Pelodiscus sinensis: one gene and its partners. The main gene of each other region encodes a partner of the protein of the gene in region 3 in a complex. Links are inferred from orthologs where the notes say so. Each region holds a gene or a part of one and is shown on either strand. Other genes may lie near its edges.

Region 1 (7,851 bases), on a different chromosome or scaffold from region 3:
TCCCCCACCCGTGCCACGCCACAGGCAGGGGACTGCTCCAGCAGGGCTGCTCCAGTTACCCTGGAAAGCATGCTAGTAAGGCAATGATTACCGGCTAACCAGTTACCCCTTTACATCCACTATCCTCACAGAATTTCTCCCACACAAGGCAAGGTGTTTACCTGGCATTTCCATATTGATACACAGGTCTAAAGATGTATCATCATCATCATCATCATCAACTGAAAGTCCTTCTGAAAGGTGATTTGGTCCAATCACAAGCTATTGAGTTCTACAGATTTTGTTTCTGCAGGATGGAAAAGTCATCTCCTTACCCATTTCCCAGGTTTTTTCCCTGTCTCTACTATCATCCTAGGGAGATGTTAGCTCAAGTCAGACTTACACACTGTTGTCTATCCACTTATTCTTGTTTTTACAATAAGCAAAGCAGAAAGGAGGGCTAGTCCTACGGGCAGGAAATTGGGGTTCTACTCCTGGCTTTGTGTGTGACTATGGGAAAGTCTCTTCTTCTCCCTGAGCCACAGTTGCCCTATTAGCAAAACAAGAATAATACATTGTTACATCACTGGACATTATGAGCCATAAAGCACATGAAGTACTTAGAGATACTTGGATAGAAGGCATTAGAGACTGCAAAAAATGATACTGATTTCCTTTTGTCATGAATCAACATGTGTCCTGTACTCAGTCTATAAATAAAGGCTCTATTTGCCAACGTAGAAATGCCATAAAGTTACTTCAGCACCTCCATCATCCAAAAGTAGGCCATGTCCTAGTGATTCTTGTTTTTATAGCATCCTAAAGCTTTCAAAGTATTTTAGAGAATAAATAGAAGAGCACGATCACTGCCCCATAGAACTGACCGTCTAATTCTGCACGAGATGCTCCAAGAGAGAATGATGGTCATGACAGAAAGGACACAATGATTTAGTTAAGCTTGGGTACATGATGATGACTCAGTTAAGATTATTCAGTTAAGTGAGAAATGTTTCATCTCAAGAGCCGAGAAGGAAGAGAGGCCCCAATCCTGTAACACTTGTGCACGTCCTTAACTTTATGCACTGAGTTGTCCCACAGAATTCACTGTGTGAAGAAAAGTTAAACATGTGCTCGAGTCTTTGCAAAAATCAGGACATTAGATGGTATATTCTGTTGAACTGTATGGGCCTGCTCCTGTCTCAGTGAAATCACCGTCAAAATGCCTACTGACTTTAACAGGCACAGGATTGGCAGAAGACTGACTACCATCTAGAACATCTCTTTTTACCCCACCTATCAGCTGGGATGATTTATGTCTGTAAGAAATCATGCCTCTGAGCATATGCAGTGACACACCTCTGAATATGTGCAGAGAAACTGTCAGCCCTAATGTTCCATTAGGAGGTATTTGAAGTTATTTCTTTTAAGGGAAGAATTTGATCACATCCATGATTGCATCTGGATAAACAGACGCTGAAAAGGGTATCTCTGAGTGCAAAATCACTTTACTTTTTATTAAGATTTGTTGCAAAAGCAGTCATTCCCCATTGCCAAAGGTGTGCCACACATGCCAAGTTAGAACTTCTGAAACAAAACAGAGATGTCAAGGCACAGAAGAATAGTTCTCCTAGAAAGATATAAGCTTCTGAATACAAATATGCTGCTGTTACCAAAATGACACTACTTAGAAAAAAAGACATTTTGGAAAGCCAAACACAGTTTTGGAGGATTTTTTATACAAAGTTTTCACATGCTGGATACACAATGTAATCTTTGCAACTCACCATATTTTGTTTCTCTGCCATTATCTGGAATAGAGAGTCATGCCACTCCAGGATGTGAGTATCCAACAGATGCCCAGAGGGGAAAGAACGTTTGCAGAAAGAACACATGTTTCTGTGTAGTGTGTTGTAGTGATGTTCATAACCCTCTAAGGTATCAAACACTTGACAGCACCCAACAATATGACAACTGAATTCAGACACCCTAGAAAGAAGTGATGAAAATATGTGTATGTTTAGGTTATGTCAACACCACACAGAGCATATGGATCAATGCCTCTGCACAAATCGAAATAAAATCTTTACATTCTGGTAGTTTTCATTATTAAACTGGAGACAATAGCATTAACTTGTGAGGTAATTAGGAACTCGTATTTGTGGCTCAAACTCCTTTTACATAACTCTCAGCCTCTAGAATCAGTGGAATCAAAACTAAGCAGCAATAAAAGGTGATGAGCTGCTATATTTCAAAATCCCAGCAGATCCCTATGAAAGAGCTATCTTCATTTTCAATTAGTTCTCTAGGTAGCGTCAAGTTTTTTCTGGGATGATTACTGAACATTTTGAAACTAGGTGGAGATCTTGGCCAATGTGTTCATTTTGACCAGGTTATTCTCCCTAACTGAACAACTGCATATTTTCCCCTAAACTCAAATTCTTTTTTAACAGACTGAAGTAAAAAGCCATCATATAATTTGCTCAGATCTTCTGACTGAAACTTAAATGCTCAGGTACCTTCAGGAATGCAAATCCCATTTATACCCATATTTTCTGAAGGGATGATTTCTCCAGATCTGGCAAAGAGATAACCAACATTTCATTTTAAACCAGACGGTCCCTCAAAACCTGAATCTCTTTCAATAACTATCACATTATCCACTTATAAGGCACTTTATGATGTCTTCCTAATTATTCTATTTCTTCTCCATCTCCATGATTAAAGCAAAAAATAAAATAAAGGAGATTGCAGATATCTCTGTCCAGTTTCTCTATAATTTAGGTCTTATCTCAACTTTCAGGAGCTCACCACTGCAGCAACTGATCCACTGGGGGTCTATTTAGCAGATTTAGGGATGACCCAGTAAATCAGCCATAGATCTCTCACCTATTGACTCCAGTACTCCATAGGAATGAGAAGCATAAGGAAAGTCGATGCGAGAGTTGCCCCCATCAACTCAGCATGATGCTACTTTGAAAATTCCAGTACTGCAACAAGTTAGCCTAACCTTTGTCTCCATTATTCTTGTAGCTGGAATTGTGTAACTTAGTTTGATTTAACCCCGTAGCATAGACTTGATCTCAGACAGATCAGACTCAGCTCCAATGACTTATACTGATGCTTTTGGACAGGTGTAAAGAGCAATAGTCCTCTGAAGGAAACACGAGTGAAAGCTCACATGGAGATGCAACCAACCAACAAAACTGTACCATCCATCAAAACACCTCTTTTTGTCAAGAAACAACAAAAGGAAAACAGCTGAATTTGATCTGGTAGCAGAAATAATTCAAAGCACTCCACAGTTGTTATTCAATATTTGCTCAGTCTTAATACAATTTGAGCCAGATGTATACACCACCAACAGCATGGACCACAAACTGGTAGCTATGGGTAGAGTGTGTGTGTGTGTGTGTGTATATATTTTATAATATAAAAAAAAAAATCACATGCATTTTTGTTAACCGGACCCACAATAGAATTTAGAAGAACAGCACCACTTACTTGGATCTTTCGGTCACTTCTGTAACATTTGTTAGGATATCCTGGAGATACAAGTGTCTATGAATGTCTCCATCCTGAAAAAGAGTAGTGATTGTAGGCATGTTACAGCACCGCATGTTCAAAAAGTAAATGGGAAATTATCTTTATTGTCCAACAAGAAACTGTTAAAACAGAGTTAAGATACAGAATACATGTTACTACCAACTCGACTTTGTATCAAGAATGGCATGTTGATCTAACTTTGCTGAGCCCAGTTTATAGAGCATGAATAAAAGCGCAACTGGGTGTCCTTGACTATTGCTATCCATTGCTTATCATAAGCCCTTTGTTGCTAACTCCTGGGGACATAATTCTAGAGCAGGGCTACTCAACACATGGCCCGTGAACCATGGTGCAGTTTGGATTTACATGGGGCTCAACATGTGGCCTGCAGGCACGAGCCAAAACAAAAAAGTGCTCAATATAATGGTCTTCTGTTGATCTGAGTTTTAGTAGTTCAATTCCTGGACTGTCATTGCTCATTAAAAGTGCTGCTATATGGGTGGAAACCAGGTAAATATTGCATTTTATTCATAGCAACGAAACTGACTTAAATGGGGCCTGCGTGTTGTGTTGTCTTGCCTTAATCTCTGTACTCATGCCCGCCAGTGTGAAAGCAGCTATTTGCATAGATTTGCATGATAAGCAACCACACTTTAGCTGCGGCCCGGGGCACGTGAGTATCACTGTGGCCCCCGGGCTTGCAAAGTTGAGTAGCCCTGGCCCAGGGACTCTCAGCCTCGCTGGGGGCCGGCGAGACCACGGCGCCTCAGGAGACTCGGCGCCAGCGGAAGGGGGCTGTAGCTTTGGGGCAGGGCCCCCCCGAGGGGCTGCGGCCACGGGGCACACGCCCGCTCCGGCTGCCCGGGAGGCCGCGCGAGGGCAGCCGGGTCCCTCACCTCGAAGAACTCGTGCTGGCGATGGAAGCGGAGGCGGCGGGCCGAGAAGCAGAAGGGGGCCCGCGGCGGCGAGCGGGGCCGGACGGGCAGCAGGGGCCGCTCCGCCTGCAGCGAGAGGCTGAGCCCGGGCGGCAGCAGCATCCTGCCCAAGCGCCGGGCGCGCTCAGCGGGACGCCATCTTTCCGGGGGATCAGATCACTTCCGGGTCAGCTGGCACTTCCGGGTCCCCTCGGAGCGCTTCGGGTCTAGTAGCGGCGATGCGGGGGCTCTCCTGTGAGACGGGCAGCGAAAAGGGGGCGGTGCCTTAGCAGGGCAGGTCCCCACGCGGGTTTCTGATTGGTTCCAGGGAGGCTGCCGTCTCTGCGGCAGCCAATCGGAGTCTGCGCGCTTCTTCCTCCACCCCCCCCCCCACTCCCGCGCGCCGCTTGCGAGGCCCCGGCTAACGGTTAACGGCTGCGGCGTGATTCCCTCCGTAGCCCCGCCCCCCGATCCTCCCGCGCTGGGCGCGCGCTGCCACTGAGGGGGCCCGCTCCGCGCGCGCCGCCCCGTCCCCCCAGACCCGGCGGGAGCTGCCCCGGCACAAGGTACCCGCTTCCCGACCGGGCGGGGCCCTCTCCCTCGCCGGGGCTGCGGACCCGCTGTCGCCCCGCAGGCCCGTCCTCACGAACTGCGGGGCGAGGGGCTGGAACAGGTCAGGGAGGCGGAGCAGGGCCCCCGGGATCGATGGGGCGGGGGCCAGCGCCAGGCACACACAGCGGTGCCCCATGGGGCTGTGTCTGCCTGCGCCTAGGGGGGCGGGGAGTGGGGGAGCCGGCTCTGGGGTGGCCTTTGAGTGATGAATGCAGGGTCTCCTGCGCGGCGAGCGATGCCCCTGCAGCGTGTCAATAAGCCCCCCCCCCGGGAGTGACCCCGCGTACGCACCGGTGAGGGGGAGAGCTTCTCCTGCCCACCTCGGGCTGCTTAAGCGCTGCCATGGAGCGGTACCCATGTGTAAACTAGGGATCGGCGTGGCCAAACGGTAAGCAACACCTTACCGGTCACCGTTCACTAGCCGCGGGGCCGGAGCACTCGCCTCACTGGTGGGTTTTGCATCCTTAGTCTAAACAAGCCCCGAGTCCCAATTACAAAAAACGATTTCGGCACTGACGAGTCTAAATGACATTGACTTTTAGTGAGGTTTACGCTGCGACGTGCCAAAGTCGCTTTTGAAAATGAGACTTGGACTCTGAGGCCACTTCGGCAACTTTGAATTTTTTTACCCTTGTTGATTAACTTTGAGTTTCGTCGGTTGTGCTTTGCATTCAATGTACTGTGAAATCTGTAACCCTAGGTGGAAGCATGAGTGAATTCCGCATTCACCACGATGTCAACGAGCTGTTAAGCCTGCTGCGTGTTCATGGAGGGGAAGGAGCTGAAGTGTACATAGATCTCCTGCAAAAGAACCGAACTCCTTATGTTACCACGACTGTGTCTGCACACAGTGCTAAGGTGAGCTAGTTTCAGTTTACTCGCTGCCAAGCTGCCGTGATGGTTGAAATTCACTTTTTTCTTAATTAGTATGTGATAATCTTCTGGAATTATTTACAAATTCTTTGACTCTAGTGATACCAACATCAAGGTTAAAGAGAGAAACTAAGAGAAAAGGGACCACTTGAGTTTTTGGAAGGACAAAGAACATCCTTACTTCTGCCCTACACCTAAACTCACCATGCCTACTCCTCAGGAGTTCCCGAACAGGACTCTGAGTTATCCTTCCTTATGTCCCTAATAAGTGCTGAGATGTTAGGTTTGCTGTCTAAGTAACTCAGAGCCACTCATCTACATTTCTGAAGGGGTAGAGTGGAGAGGACGCATCAGGACTGACAGCTTGATACTTGCTTGAGAGACCAAGAGACTGGCAGCATGACTAGAATCATAGACCCATAGAGCTGGAAGGGACCTCAGAAAGTCATCAAGTCCAGCCCCCTGCTCTAGGCAAGACCAATCCCAACTAAATCAACCCAGCCAGGGCTTTGTCATACCGGGTCTTCTGGTCTCCCAAGGCACAGAGTTGAGGTCCTGAAAAGAAATGCAGACATTGAACTAGTAATATAAAATCCTATTTAATTAGTTGACCAATTAAATGTTAAATTTAACCGATTAACTGATTAAACAGAGGCGGGCTGTGAGTGGGCAGCCTTGCACAAAGGGGAGTGGATAGGGCAGTGGAGGGGAGGGCTGCTGGATCCCCGCCTTCGTGGGCTCATCACACTGTGGATGGGGCTAGGTGGTTGGAATTCACCTACAAATTTGACATAACCTGGCTTTGAATAAAGACTTAATGTGGTCAACACATTACAAAGCCAATTTCCTCTGCCTTTAACATTCACATTTTCACATCAAACACTATGAATGGGACACATCCAGCTCACTTAATTAGCTTCATTAACACAGGTCCTACAATTGACAGATTTTTTTTTTGTTATTGTGTACATCTTGGATTCTCTTATTTCCACTCCAACTCATCTGATGAAGTGGGTCTTACCCTCAAAAGCTCATGATACAGTGTATTTTTGTTATTCTCTAAGGTGCTACAGGATTACTCGTTGTTTCTTTAGTTATATGATCATAGACTGGTTTTTGCACAGCATCTTTATGGCTCTTTGCATATGCAAAAGTAGCCCCATTTTACAAACACCATAACAGATCTGATGTTTTCTTTGTTCTTCTAAGTAGTGCATTTGAAACTTTCTCCTAAAATGCTAACATTTATGTTTAAATACTTGTATTATTTATGATGTTTTACAGGTTAAAATAGCAGAATTTTCTCGAACTCCAGAAGATTTTTTAAAGAAGTATGATGAGCTGAAATCTAAAAATACAAGGAATCTGGATCCGTTAGTGTATTTGCTGTCAAAACTCACAGAAGACAAAGAGGTAGCATGTTTGTTTCTGCATTTGTCAGTCTGATGCATATTGGGAAGTAACAACAATGATTATAGTGCATCCTTTTAAGAAGCTGTTCAGACAAACCTATCTGAACCAACTAGTTATGATTACAGTGGAGTATGTGATAGGGATATTAACAAACGTTTATTTGTGTAAATGTGTAACCACTGAAATTTTTAGCGATGACATGTTTACACACATGAGGGACTGGTGCTCGCAGGGAGCCAGCTTAAAAGATACAGAGGCAGCAAAGGGGGGATGTATGTAACCATTAGGAATAACCAATAAGCAAGCTAACATCCCGAGTATGTGAGAGCATTCATTCTAGCCCTCTGTTTTCAGTTACTCATGAATTTTTCCAGCAAGTTTTGTACCTAAACAGGAATTTTAATTTTGACTTAGAGAAAAATCAAGCCATTTTGAATTATGTAATGGTAAGCGCATTTTTTTAACCATTCGTATTAAGGGTTTTTTTTTTTTTGCATACTAAGTATACAATTGGAAA
Region 2 (7,288 bases), on a different chromosome or scaffold from region 3:
GAGAGAATGCATGTAGTCTATAGCATTAACCTATAAACTTTTGCTTATCAATTAATCAACTACACTATTACATCCCTACAGCATAGTCATACCAACACAGTTGCACTACTGTAAAATCTCTTGTGTACACACTCTATGACAACAGGGGCTCTCCAACTGACTTAATGAAACCCAACAAGCAGCAGTAGCTATGGCAGCAGGAGAGCTGTCCACACCAGTGGTATTCTTTTTCATAGGAGGCGACATAAGTTATACCAACAAGGGAGACAGATGTAGCCTAACAATCAGCAAGACTCAGAGGACTTCAAAATTTAACACCTAAGGTCCAAGGAAGCACCTAACTCCACTGAGCACAGCCTCCCAGCTCAATGTCTAGCCAGCAAGCAGGTAGCCCATTGCTCCAGCCCAGAGCTGGCTGTTGCCATGCTCAGCACAGACTACCAACAGGACAGAGTTGAGTTACAGGAGGGGGTAACAAAGCAGGAGAAGAGGGCAAACACTATCACTGAACAGGTAAGTGAGACACACTTGCAAGATAACCCCTAGGGCAAGAGCCGTGCACACAGCAGTCCACAGCTTTTTGTGACTGTCACCAGGCCCTGAGCAGCAGAATGAAACCAAATCCTTGTCTATGCTACACATGTCACTGTAAGTACATCATGCAGTCATACTAATCTAACCCCAGCTCTAGATAGTGCTATGTCAACTAGGGATGTAATAGTATAGTCCAGTGGTTCCCAAACTTTTCAGCATCATGCCCCCCTTTTTGATTTTTGAGAAAGCCTCATGTCCCCCCACCCCCAGTAAAACTTGTTGAGCAAAAAAAAAAAAAAAGGAACTGACGGGATCCAAAAAACAAAAACAGCAACAAAACTTGCTGATATGCCCCCCAGTTTGGGAACCCACGGTATAGTCAGTTAAATCAGTTAACACTATCAGCTATACACAATTGCGCCATCCCAGCTCGTGCCGGGTCCCAGCATCTATCCCTGCTGCAGCTCTGCACTAGAAGCAGTTTAAGAGCTGACACACAGGCAGGCTGGCTTAGCCCCATAATAATTTAGAACCGCAGAGGGGGGTTGATGCTGAGACCCAGCTCAAGCGGGGACTGGGCCAGATTGCCTGTGTACCAGCTCTTAAACTGCTTCTAGGGCAGAGCCACAACAGGGGTAGTTGCCAGTACATGGCTCAAACCGAGACTGAGTGCTTGCAATGCTAACCCTTATCGATTAATCATGTAGACAAAAACATTTTTGTCGACTATATGATTAATGAATTACATGCTTTTTATCATTCCTAATGTCAATAGGATACCTTCTCCTATTGATATAACAACACTTCTCTAGCTGATCTACAGTATAGCTTAAGCAACAAGGAGCCCATTCAGTCTTCAAGATGCCACAAGAGTCCTGGTTGTTACTATGACTCAAGTCAGTGCAAGTTACATCGCCCAGGGATCACAGAATCATAGAGCTTGAAGAGACCTCGGGTGGTCATCAAATCCAGCCCCTTGCCAAAGGCAGGACCAATCCCAACTAAATCAACCCAGCCAGGGCTTTGTCAAGCCAAGACTTAAAAACCTCTAGGGATGGAGATTCCACCACCTCCCCAGGTAACCCATTCCAGTGCTTCACCACCCTCCTAATGAAATAGTTTTTCCTAATATCCAACCTAGACCTTCCCCACTGTAACTTGAGACCATTGCTCCTTGTTCTGCCATCAGTCACTAGTGAGAACAGCCTCTCTCCATCCTCTTTGGAAGGCTGCTATTAAATTCCCCCTCACTCTTCTCTTCTGTAGACTAAACAAACCCAATTCTCCAATTTGTCTAGGTCACTCTGGACCCTATCCCTACCCTACCATCCAATGTATCTTCCTCTCCCCCCCTAGCTTCGTGTCATCTGAAAACTTGCTGAGGGTGCACTCCATCCTCTCATCCAGGTCATTAATAAAGATGTTGAACAAAACCGGTCCAAGAACCGATCCTTGGGGCACTCCACTAGAAACTGGCAGCCAACCTGACATGGAACCGCTGATCACTACCCGTTGGGCCCAACAGTCTAGCCAGCTTTCTAACCATCTTACAGTCTATTTATCCAATCCATATGCCCTTAACTTGCTGGCAAGAATATTGTGGGAGACCGTATCAAAAGCTTTGCTAAAGTCAAGGTATATCACATCCACTGAAAGACTTCCTCAGCGACATAAATGACATCGACCTAGTCCCACTGTGTATGGCCCTTATGTCAGCAGCAGACACTCCCCACCGCGCAGCTTCCACGTCTCGTGGAGGTGGAATAAGTATGGGGATGGGAGCACTCCCCCATGGCCAGCGCGGTGGGTAGCGCAGGCTTGGCCTCAGGGGGCAAGGCAGCTACCCCGGCTAGGAGAGCCCGAGTGCCAAGGCGGCACCGCTCCAGTGCGATAAGCGCAGAGGAGCCCGAAGTGCTTCGCTGCTGCTAACGGCTCTGCCCTGCCCTGCCCGCAGCTGCTTGGAGGCAGCAGAGGAAGCGGCGCTGACGCGGGGCCCTTTCCCCACTGCCCCAGCAGCGGGCCGAGGAGTTTCACTCGCTCCCATGGGGCAGGGGTGTCTCTCCTCTCCCTCGCCTGGCTGCCCCCTCCCCCGGGCCAGGAGCCGCACCCCGCTTCGGGGCAGGGCCCGCGCCAGCCTGCGCGCCTCGGGGTGCGCAGGGCCCCGCCACTCCGGCAGCAGCAGCAGCCACCGCCGGGCCCTGGGTGCAGCCGCGGGACCCCGCGCCGGGCGGCTGCACGTTGGGCTCGCGCCGTGCCGCGCGCTGCGGGGGGGGGGGGGGCGGCTGTTACCTTCGTTCTTGCCGAGGATGCGGCAGCACAGGTTCTGCAGCAGAACGTTGGGGGATTTCTGATCCGGACACGCCATCCTCACCCCCGCGGCGGGGAACCTCCCTCTGCCACTGCCGCGCGCGCTGCGCCTAACGGCCGCTGCCTCCCGGCGCCATTTTAACAGAACCCGCGGAAAACAGCGGCGGCAACAAGCGCCCACAATGCCCCTGTGCGCGGGGCGACCCGGAGCGCGCAGCGCCGAACACCTCCCGCCCTCCTCACACAGCCACAGCGCAAAGGTTCCGGGGCACAAACTGACCCTCGAACCTCCAGAGCCTGACCCTGCGCCCACACGCAGAGCCCGTTACCATTGCAGGAGGCGGCTGGGACTGGCATAGAAATCAGGAGTATCCAGCTCCCCCCGCACCCCTGCATCCCTTCTGTGCCGATGACAGTTGAGGAGGGGGACGCTACAGGACCCCAGACTCGCATCCTCCTCCCACGTGGTGACACCCAGGCTAAATTTCGGACGGTACAACCACACCTGCTCTATGAGGTCACTGTTCCATCACACAATTACGTCACCGTGCTATGATGTCACCAAATTGTGTCGTGACGCAAAAGAGAGCTGACCAAAATACAGACTGCCCAGCCCACAGGAGATTGCAAATTCCCAAGAGTTCTGTTTCCATCCGTAAATTGGGATGAAAAATTAAAACCTCAAACTTCTCCAAGTGGCCTGTACCCAAAGAGCTCCCTGCAGCTCAGAGGTACAATGGTTATATTACACAATGCATTAGCTGAAATTATAAATTTTACTCTAACAAACATCAAAAAACATGTCGATAATCTCCAGTCACACAGACGCACTCGTTATCAGTTCACCTACTGTGAAACATTTCTATTTTGTGGAATCAGAATTTTCTGACCAAAATCTTCCACCAGAAAATTTCAACTGTCTTTAATGCAAACAAGGTTGTGGCCCAAAAGAAACCATGATACTATGTCTACACTGCTTGCCTATCATCAACTCACTCAGGTCTAGATGTGGGATCTGATGGAGTTTTGCAACCTCTTATGACAGCTTCCATAATCTCTGGAGTTTGGACTCCATCCTAGCTAGGGTTTACATGGTATCGCTTCTTAATATTGATGTTGAGTAGAAAAGACAGAGACTAGGGATGTGACCAGTTAACAGCTGGGCTGGCCAGGCTGGCGCATCCCCTTGCCCAATGTGAGTGGGGAGCTGCTGGGGGTGTTCCAGTTCAGCCCAGCCTGCCATGGGCAGCCATGGGGAGCTGTGAATTCTCCACCTGCCCTAAGCAGGGGGCATGCATGGTAAGGATACATATAGAACCTCCCCCCCCCCCCCCATATTTAATGTTGCTAACATGAAGGGAAAAGGAATCCAGGAGAGCTGGCAGTATTTTAAAGAAACCTTATTGAAAGCACTGGAATAAACCATCCCAATGCGCAGTAAGAAAAGCAAATATGATAGGTGACCAGCTTGGCTTAGCAGTGAAATCCTTGGTGAGCTTAAATACAAAAAGGAAGGTTACATGAAGTAGAAACTTGGGCAGATGACTAGGGAAGAGTGTAAATATATTGCTCAAACATGCAGGGATGTAATCATGAAGGTCAAAGTGCAACTGGAATTGCAGCTAGCAAGGGATGTGAAGGGTAACAAGAAAGTTTTCTACAAACATATTAGCAATAAGAGGGTGGTTCAGAAAGGAGTGGGACCCATACCGAATGAGGGAGGTAACGTAGGGCATGTATAGACTTCATTTTAATTTTGAAAGATGATATGCAAATTCCATGGCACATGGGGTCTTTAAAAAAAACACTTTTGAAAAACCGCATAAACCTCCTTTTTTAAGGGTTAGGGGATTTGCATATCCTCTTTCTAAATTAAAACGTAATCTAGACATGTCCCTGGTGACAGATGTGGGAAAAGCTGAAGTACTCAATGCTTTTTTTTTTTTTTTTGCCTTTGTCTTTACGGACAAGGTCAGCTCCCAGACTACTGCACTAGGCAACACAGTTTGGGAAAGAGGTAGGCAGCCCTCACTGGAGAAAGAACACATTAAGAACTATTTAGAAAAGCTAGACATACACAAATCCATGGGTCTGGATTTAATGTATCTGAAGGTACTGAGGGAATTGGCAAATGTCATTGCAGAGCCTTTGGCCATTATCTTTGAAAACTCATGCAGATAAAGAGAGATCCTGGATGTTTGGAAAAAGGCAAATGTAGTGTCCATCTTTAAAAAAGTATGCCCTTGTAGCCAAGAAGGCTAATGGCATATTAGGATGTATTAGGAAGAGCATTGCCAGCAGACCGAGAGAAATGATTATTCCCCTTTATTCAGCACTGGTGAGGCCACATCTGGAGTACTGCATCCAATTCTTGGCCCCCGTTACAGAAAGTACATGGATGCACTGGAGAAAGTCCAGCAGAGGTCAATGAAAATGATTAGGGGGCTGGAACATATGACTTACAGTGAAAGACTGAGGGATTTGAGCTTATTTAGTCTGTAAAAGAGAAGAGTGAGGGGGGATTTGATAGCAGCCTTTAACTACCTGAAGGGGGGTTCCAAAGAGGATGGAGAGAGGCTGTTCTCAGTAGTGACAGATGACAGAATGAGGAGCAATGGTCTCAAGTTGCAGTGGGGGAGGTCTAGATTGGATATTAGAAAAAACTATTTTACTAGGAGGGTAGTAAAGCACTGGAATGGGTTACCTTGGGAGGTAGCGGAATTTCTATCCTAAGAAGTTTTTAATTCCTGGCTTGACAAAGCCCTGGCTGGGATGATTTATTTGGAGTTGGTCCTGCTTTGGGCAGAGGGTTAGACTTGATGACCTCCTGAGGTCTCTTCCAAACCTATGATTCTACGAGGTTCAGGGCTTTCCATAGGCCAGATTTATTCTTTTGGAGTTCCAGGATTAGTGAACTTTGTGGACCCCCCCCCCCCAAGCTCTGGGGTTAGGACAAAAATGAGGGCTTCAGTGAGTGGGCCAGAGCTGCCAAAGAGATGGATAGGGGTGCAGGATCTGGGCAGGAGGTGGGGTGCAGAAGGAGGTGAGGGGGTGAAGTCTGGCTGGGAGTAGGGTGTCTGGCCAGAGGGAGGTGGCAAGAGGAAGGGAAGGTGCAGAAGCAAGGGCAGGTGCAGGAGTGGGCTAGATTAGGTGTCTAACTAGGAGGAAGGGTGCAGAAGCAGGCTGGGGGTAGGGTGTCAACCAAGGGGAAGGGTGAAGGAGCAAGGGTGGATGCAGGAGTGACTTGGGGGGAAGGGTGTCTGGCAGGGTGTAGGGTGTCTGGCCAGGGGAGAGGGCGCAGAGTCTTGGTGGGGTGGGGTGCGAGGGAGCTAGGACTGTGGGGGTCTGGGCATGAGGTTATGGGGGACACTTACTTGCCTTCGCACCCCACGCCAATCCCAGGCACCTCCCCCCACTGTTCCATTGGCCGGATTCTGGCCAATGGGAGCAGCAGCAAAAGCCTCCAGGCAGCACACCCGCATGCTGCTGTTCTCCCAGCTGAGAGATGGAAAGGGGAAGCACTTCTTCCCTCTGAGCCAGATCACATCGTAAGGCTCAGGGCTTTCTCTACACCCCGCACCCCCAAGCAGGAAGATGATGCGGGTGCCCCAACTGCGTGGGGGAGGAAAGGCAAGGCTGGAGCACCAGCGTGAGCTCCCTGCTGAGGGTAGGGGAGGCTTAGTTTGAGCTGCAGACGACCTGGAAGGCTGCTGTGGACCACTAATGTGAGAACCACTCACTGTCCTAGAATATTCAAGGAACTGACTGAGGAGGTATCTAAGCCATTAGCAATTATCTTCAAAAACTCATGGAAGACAGGAAGATTCCAGAGGACTGGAAGAGGGCTAATATGGTGCCAACTAGTTATCTTAATTTTAGTACCTAGAAAAATAATGGAGCAAATAATAAAACAATCAATTTGCAAACACCTAGAAAATAATAATGTGAGAAGTAATAATGAACATGGATTTGTCAAGAACAAATCATATAAAACCAACCTAATAGCTTTTTGGACAGGGTAACAAGCCATGCGCATAGGAGAGAAGTAGTAGATGTGGCAGATCTTGACTTTAGTAAGGCTTTTGATACTATCTTACATAAGGTGGGTGCAAAACCATTCCCAAAGAGTAGTACATAGACAAACTGGAATGGCATATTGAAAGGAATCCTGTTCTGTTCAATAGCTTCATAATTTAAGATAAATAATAGCATGGAGAATACAGTTATAAAGTTTGTGGATGATATCAAGCTGGGAGAGGCTGAAATTGCTTGGGAGATAAGATTAATATTCAAAATGATTTGGGCAAACTAGAGAAATGAAGTAAATAGGATGAAATTCAATAAGGACTACTGGAAAGTACCACTGAAGAGGGAACAATTAATTGCACATCTAGAAAATCAGAAATGACTGCCTAGAACTGACTACTACAGAAATGAATCTGAAGGC
Region 3 (7,139 bases):
CACCACCCTCTACAGAAAACCCACTGACTCATACAGTTACCTACATGCTTCCAGCTCCCATCCAGCACACACCATACGATCCATCATCTATAGCCAAGCCCTTCGATACAACCGCATCTGCTCAAATTCCACAGACAGAGGCCAGAAACTTCAGGATCTCTACCAAGCATTTATAAACCTCAACTACCCACCTGGAGAAATAAAAAAGCAAATTGAAAGAGCCAAACGAATACCTAGAAACCATCTACTACAAGACAGACCCAAGAAAACCAACAATAGAACACCACTTGTCATCACCTACAGCTCCCAACTTATACCTGTCCAACACATTATCAATAGATTACAGCCTATACTGGAACAGGACACTAAACTCCAAGAAGCTCTGGGAGACAGACCCATAGTCTCCTATAGACAACCACCTAATCTCAAGATGATTCTTACCAACAACCACAGGACATACCACACTAATACCAACCCTGGTACTTTCCCTTGCAACAAAGGGAAAGTTTGTTTGTCCACATATTCACTCTGCTGACACCATTATTGGGCCTAACCAAGTGAGTTACAAGATCAAGAATACATATTCCTGCGCCTCCAGAAATATAATCTATGCTATCATGTGCCGAAAGTGTCCGTCTGCTATGTACATTGGACAAACGTCTCAGACACTTCGCCAAAGAATCAATGCCCACAAAACAGACATTAGACAGGATCACAAAGAAAAAACAGTTGCTTGTCATTTCAACCAGAAAGGACACAGTCTCAATGACCTGCTGACCTGCATCCTACTTCAGAAGACATTCAAATCTGCACTTGAAAGGGAATCCTCTGAACTGGCATTCATGCTAAAATTCGACACTCTCCGCACCGGACTTCACAAAGACCCCGGCTATCTTACACATTACAAAGACAGCTTCCCCAATTATCACCTCTAATTCTATTAACTCACAGACATTTCCCCTTCCCCACCTCTAATATCATTAACTCACTGGCATTCACCTTCCTTTCCCCCCCCCCCAAATCCCCCTTCTGTTCTGTAATGTGATTTGTCCTTTTCATGTGTGTTCATTTTTTTAAAATTGTATCCTTTGGTATATATGGTTGTGACTATTTTCTTCCACTATTTGATCTGAGGAAGTGGGTCTGGCCCACGAAAGCTCATCATCTAATAAACCATCTTGTTAGTCTTTAAAGTGCTACATAGTCCTGTATTTTGTTTCAGCTACAGCTAATTAGTTTGCATCCTCTTCCTGATTGGATGCTCCCTTTCAGTTCCTTTCTATACCATACTAGCACTGCTCCCTTTTTGGGGCAGGGTGTGGTAGGCTTCAGCAGGGGACCTCAGGGTCTGATACATCCAGTCACATTCAACATTCATGATTTTATAAACCTTTCTCATATCCCCTCTTAGTTGTCTCTTTTCTAAGCTGAACAGCTCTAAACCTTTTAGCCTCTTTTTATGTGGAAGCTGTTCCAAACCTTTGATCGTTTTTGTTGCCCTTCTCTAAATCTTTTCCAGTTCCACTATATTTTTTTCAGATAGAACCACCAGAAATGAACCCAATACGCAAGAAATAAATACACTATTGACTTATATAGTGGCATTATATTTTCTGTCTTATTTTCTATCCTTTTCCTCACAGTTCCTACCATGCTGTTAGCCTTTTTGATCACTGGAGCACACTGAGCTGTTTTCTCTTCAGTGACTCTTTTTTGCAAACCCTGATTCCAATTAAGAAAACTGAAAAGACTTAAAACATCAGAATAAGATGATAGCAAATAATTGTCTTTGCACAGAAAACTGTTGATAAACAAAAAGTTGGTCCAGTAAGTGTCCAAGATAACAGAATGGGACTGTATGCCCCAAAGCTGAAGGAGCAGTCTGAGTTTAGGACTAATGTGTTCTTTCTGGTAAAATCTCATTCACCCATAAAATAGAAAATATACTTCTATATTGTGATTCTTTCTAAAATGAACATTTCCTGCCCAATGAGCCTCTATATTTGTGTCAATTAATTGCATGTTTGATATTCAGTGGACTGTCACAATGCATTACAAATCTTAACAGTAATACTCAGTGGGATGCTAGACAACACTTGAAACTTGGATGTAGGCTAGGGTTGTGAAACCTTACAATACACCAAGCAGCAATGGATTTGTAAATCTCAATACTCAGTGTTTGTTTAATCAGATTAATAAGAAAAAAAAGTCTACTGACAGAGAAACAACCCAAACCAAATGAGGAAAAAAAATTACCTGTTAGCTGTTTGGTAGTCAGTTCAGGTCTTAAATTAACTTCAAGTTCCCATGAAAATCATACACATCTTGAGAAAATGAGTGTTGAATCTGAAGAGAGGAAAAACTCAGAGGTAGCATCTTGCTAACTTGTCTTTAAGACAAGTGACTTCTTTCCTGGTACCGACAATAAATGTCTATACATGAAAAATAGTTACTCCCAGCTCTGTAAAACCATCTTCTCCGTCTCCGTGGTTTTGGCTGTAAGCTCTTAGGGAGCAGAGACTGACTTTTATGTAAAATACAGTACAGAGCACACTGCTGGCATTAAATACTTTACTGAAGTTACAGTGTTGTCTTGTAAATGAATTCAGCTAGTAACAGGGTGCGTCTAAACTGGCAAGATTTTGCGCAAAATCTTGCTGCCTGTCTACACTGGCCACGAGTATTTGCGCAAGAACAATGACTTTGTACTGTACCAAATCAGTGGTTCTTGCACAAATACTTTGACGCTCCCGCTCAGGGATAAGCCCTTTTGCACAAGTATTCTTGCGCAAGAGGGCCAGTGTAGACAGGCAAGTTAATTTCTTGCGCAAGAAAGCCCGATGGCTAAAATGGCCATCAGAGCTTTCTTGCGCAAGAGAGCGTCTACACTGGCCCGGATGCTTTTGCGCAAACGCACCTGTGCCAGTGTAGACGCTCTCTTGCGCACATACTTTTAATGTAAAAACTTTTCTGTTAAAAGTATTTGCGCAAAATCCTGCCAGTCTAGAGGCAGCCACAGTGCGTAATGGCAATATTCCAGTTCCTAGGCAGAGACAATTCCCTCAAAACTCCACTCCCTGAGCCTCGCTTCTTGGGTAGAAAAGTGCAGCCCCAGACACTTCCGAAGAGCAGCGCTGCACCGAGCTTCAGCACAAAGACTCCACAGCGGCCCCGCCTCAGGGCAGCGCTGGGCGAGTCTCAGCTCTGCCTCTCGTGCTTACAAATCGCCCCGCCCGCGGAACAGCGCTGCCCCAGGGCCCTTCGGGGGGGGGGGGGATCGCTCCGCGCTCGAGCACTGGCCGGTAACCAGACCCGGGGCCCGCTTCAATCTCTGAGGGGCCGTTTCGGGGCCCGCGCTCAGTCTGTTGGGCGGGGCGGGGCGGGGCCAGGCGAGGTCTGGCTCGGGGCGGGGCCAGGCGAGGTCTGGCTCGGGGCGGGGGCGGGGCCAGGCGAGGTCTGGCTCGGGGCGGGGCCAGGCGAGGTCTGGCTCGGGGCGGGGGCGGGGCCAGGCGAGGTCTGGGTCGGGGCCGGGCGGGGGCGGGGCCAGGCGAGGTCTGGGTCGGGGCCGGGCGGGGCGGGGGCGGGGCCAGGCGAGGTCTGGCTCGGGGCGGGGCGGGGCCAGGCGAGGTCTGGCTCGGGGCGGGGGCGGGGCCAGGCGAGGTCTGGGTCGGGGCCGGGCGGGGCCAGGCGAGGTCTGGCTCGGGGCCGGGGCGGGGCCAGGCGAGGTCTGGGTCGGGGCCGGGCGGGGCGGGGGCGGGGCCAGGCGAGGTCTGGCTCGGGGCGGGGCGGGGCCAGGCGAGGTCTGGCTCGGGGCGGGGGCGGGGCCAGGCGAGGTCTGGCTCGGGGCCGGGCGGGGCGGGGGCGGGGCCAGGCGAGGTCTGGGTCGGGGCCGGGCGGGGCGGGGGCGGGGCCAGGCGAGGTCTGGCTCGGGGCCGGGGCGGAGCCAGGCGAGGTCTGGCTCGGGGCGGGGCGGGGCCAGGCGAGGTCTGGCTCGGGGCCGGGCGGGGGCGGGGCCGGGCGAGGTCTGGCTCGGGGCCGGGGCCAGGCGAGGTCTGGCTCGGGGCGGGGCGGGGCCAGGCGAGGTCTGGCTCGGGGCGGGGTCTGGCTCCGGGCGGGGCGGGGCGGGGCCGCGGGCCCTTTGCGAAGCGGGAACCGAGGCCGCTCCGAGCGAAAGAAAGAGACGGTCCTCGCGCGGCGCAGGGCAGGCGGGGCGCTGCCCCCGGGACGAGAGACCGGGCCCGGGCCGGGGGGCTGCAGAGCACGAGCTGGGCAGGCGACCGGCCCGAGAGCGCCCCCGCACGCCTGGGGCCTCGCTCCCGTCGGGCTGTGCGAGGAGCGGGACTACAGGTCCCAGGGGCCTTTGCGGGAGCAGCCGCTCCCGTCGGGCTGTGCGAGGAGCGGGACTACAGGTCCCAGGGGCCTTTGCGGGAGCCCGCTCCTAGCTGCAGGATGATTCACGAGCTGCTCCTGGCGCTGAGCGGGTACCCCGGGGCTGCCTTCACCTGGAGCAAGAGGAGCGGCCTGCAGGTACGGCTCCCCCCTTCTCCCTGCAGGGGCGGCCCCCCTCTCCCTCCTCTCCCCCTGCAGGGGCGGCCCCCCCTCTCCCTCCTCCTCCGCCCCCCCCCCCTGCAGGGGCGGCCCCCCCCTCTCCCCCCCTGCAGGGGCCCCCCCCCTCCCCCCCTGCAGGGGCGGCCCCCCCTCTCCCCCCCTGCAGGGGCCCCCCCCTCCCCCCCTGCAGGGGCGGCCCCCCCTCTCCCTCCTCCTCCGCCCCTCCCCCTGCAGGGGCGGCCCCCCCCCCTCCCCCCCTGCAGGGACGGCCCCCCCTCTCCCTCCTCCTCCGCCCTCCCCCCCTGCAGGGGCGGCCCCCCCTCTCCCCCCCTGCAGGGGCCCCCCCCCTCCCCCCCTGCAGGGGCGGCCCCCCCTCTCCCTCCTCCTCCGCCCCTCCCCCTGCAGGGGCGGCCCCCCCTCCCCCCTCCTCCCCCCCTGCAGGGGCGGCCCCCCCTCTCCCTCCTCCTCCGCCCCTCCCCCTGCAGGGGCGGCCCCCCCTCCCTCCTCCCTCCCCCCGCAGGTGCGGTCCCCCCCTCCCGCCGGCCCCGCGCTCACCCGGCCCCGCTCCCCGCAGGTGTCCCAGGAGCTACCGTTCCTGCACCCCAGCGAGAGCAGTGTTCTGAGCCGCCTCTGCCGCCTGGGCACCGACTACATCCGCTTCACCGAGTTCATCGAGCAGTACACGGGCCACGTGCAGCAGCAGGTGGGCCGGGGGGCTGCCGGCGGGGCCGGGCCAGCGCTACGCTTCGTGAGCGGCTCTTGCCCAGAGGCGCCCGGCGCAGGCCCCTTCAGCGATGCAGTGACAGCGGTTTGCGGGGGCGGTGCACAGCCCCATTCCACCGTGGCTGCAGCAAGATCTGGCGGGAGAAAGCAGGGCTGTGAGAGGTCCCTTGGGTCACTGTCAGCATGGTCCTCAGCCGGCTGGAGCAGCTCCCTGTCGGCTAGAGGTTGGGGGATGCGCCAGCCCCACAAGGGACCCACCACTCACAGAGGCTGCTCTTTGGGAAGAAAAAAAAAGTGCAGTTTTTTTTTGAAAAAGCGCACTCACATGAGTGCAAATGAACTGCAAAATTTGCAAATCCGCATTTCATTTGAATTTTTTATCTCCTTCATTTGCATTTCTCTTTCGAGAGAGGAATACAGTCTAAACGAACCCCAGGACTTTAAAAGTGTTCAAAAAGAGTTAGATTGATTCATGGAGGTTAGGTCTGTCAATGCTTATTAGCCGGGATGGGTGAGAATGGTGTCCCTAACCTCTGTTTGTCAGAGTCTAGGAATTGGCGACAGAGGAAGGATCACTTGATGATTTTGTTCTGTTTGTTCCCTCTGGGGCACCTGAAGGCCATTGTTGGCGGACAGGATTCTGAGCTAGATGGACCTTTGGTCTGTCTGACCCAGGCTGGTCATTCTTATGTTCTTAGGGATGTCTGTAAAATGGATTAAGATACATTTGTGAACAGTTCACTTCAGCACAATGGAACAGTGAAATTTACAAATGGCCACTGTATTATGCAGTCTTCTATCTCAAGAGTTCCTTATTTGTATATCCAAAGGGACTGAATACAATACTGCTCCATCTTTGACAGCTGACTCATGTCTGATTAACAGTTGATTTTAATGGTACCTTCAGTGAAGGCTAAAACTATAAGGCTACGTCTAGACTGGCATGATTTTCTGGAAATGCTTTTAACGGAAAAGTTTTCCGTTAAAAGCATTTTTGGAACAGAGCGTCTAGATTGGCATGGACGCTTTTCTGCAAAAGCACTTTTTGCAGAAAAGTGTCCATGCCAATCTAGACGCTCTTTTCCGCAAAAAAGCCCCTATCGCCGTTAATGGGTGATGCTTACTGGATAACAGTTAACTGTTACTCAGGAGCAGGCCCCATGGCTGCCCGCTCATATGAGCTGCCAGCCCCATGTAAGGCTGCTGATTCCCAGCCCAGCACAGGGTGCTCCAGCCCACCCGTGTTTACTCAGTTAAGTTTAACCGGTTAACATTTAACCAGTTAACTAATTTAAACAGGATTTTACATCCCTAGCTGAAGACTGAAATTAATAGAAGGTAAGTTCCTAAATATCTCAGGTATCTGGGCCACAGTCCCCAGTTCACTCACCAATGTCCTACGGCTAATGCAAAACTATTTGATTTTTTAGGACCATCATCCTTCCCAGCAGAATCTATGTGGATTACATGGGATTTATTTGCGGGCCTTCTGTACAGGGCTCGATTCAGTGCTGCAGCCCTATCGACAGGCGTTGCTTGACCTGGAGCAGGAGGTAAGGGAGAGAACTGGAAGAACTTGTTCAGTGTTATGAGCTGAAATACCATGCAGTGGAAGCTTGTCTCCAATAACAAATAAGCTAACAAGAAGCAGACGATGGGATGGAATCTTTGATTTCCACTGCGGATATTTTCTAAATTGCTGCTGTGAAGTTCCATTATAACCCACTGGTCAGTGTGTTACATGTCCATTCTTTGCTCCTTCACCCCCTCCCTCCACATGTCTGACCTACAGAGAGTGAAAATGTCTCAGTCCTCAGATCCTCGTCCCTCAGGCCAAGCTGTAGAGACTCATTGTATAGCTGTTAAGG

What was found.
Region 1: TUBGCP4 (region 3) and TUBGCP2 share a complex: the UniProt entries of both Homo sapiens proteins name them as parts of the gamma-tubulin ring complex. The link is inferred for Pelodiscus sinensis from reciprocal best matches to the Homo sapiens genes TUBGCP4 and TUBGCP2.
Region 2: the proteins of TUBGCP4 (region 3) and TUBGCP3 are in contact, whole or in part, in a cryo-EM structure (PDB 7QJ0), measured with the Homo sapiens proteins. The link is inferred for Pelodiscus sinensis from reciprocal best matches to the Homo sapiens genes TUBGCP4 and TUBGCP3. Residues at the interface, in NP_001273343.1 of Homo sapiens: His35, Pro36, Ser37, Glu38, Ser40, Val41, Arg44, His116, Leu117, Ser118, Ser120, His121, Tyr124, Phe125, Asp127, Gln128, Leu131, Pro134, Lys159, His160, Cys162, Gly163, Gly164, Leu165, Pro166, Arg169, Leu630, Ser631; in NP_006313.1 of Homo sapiens: Arg252, Asp253, Tyr256, Gln259, Ile261, Asp262, Lys264, Arg305, Ser312, Leu313, Arg315, Leu319, Gln322, Ser323, Cys325, Ala326, His329, Arg333, Tyr336, Arg337, Ser340, His343, Ser344, His424, Pro425, Tyr593, His595.

Annotation. Positions count from the first base shown.
Region 1 is NC_134718.1:6,882,688-6,890,538, forward strand, and holds the start of TUBGCP2 (gamma-tubulin complex component 2), read left to right. Parts: upstream 1-4,804; 5' UTR 4,805-5,002; intron 5,003-5,333; exon of another isoform or gene 5,334-5,436; intron 5,437-5,748; 5' UTR 5,749-5,756; coding exon 5,757-5,906; intron 5,907-7,205; coding exon 7,206-7,334; intron 7,335-7,851. Other genes in the region: ZNF511 (zinc finger protein 511), read right to left, coding at 1,764-1,965, 3,481-3,554, 4,419-4,559. UniProt on the Homo sapiens protein: Component of the gamma-tubulin ring complex (gTuRC) which mediates microtubule nucleation.
Region 2 is NC_134711.1:238,155,754-238,163,041, reverse strand, and holds the start of TUBGCP3 (gamma-tubulin complex component 3), read right to left. Parts: upstream 3,085-7,288; 5' UTR 2,900-3,084; coding exon 2,824-2,899; intron 1-2,823. UniProt on the Homo sapiens protein: Component of the gamma-tubulin ring complex (gTuRC) which mediates microtubule nucleation.
Region 3 is NW_027465934.1:451,998-459,136, reverse strand, and holds the start of TUBGCP4 (gamma-tubulin complex component 4), read left to right. Parts: upstream 1-4,076; 5' UTR 4,077-4,449; coding exon 4,450-4,527; intron 4,528-5,122; coding exon 5,123-5,251; intron 5,252-6,701; coding exon 6,702-6,824; intron 6,825-7,139. Other genes in the region: uncharacterized protein LOC142825186, read left to right, coding at 1-535. UniProt on the Homo sapiens protein: Component of the gamma-tubulin ring complex (gTuRC) which mediates microtubule nucleation.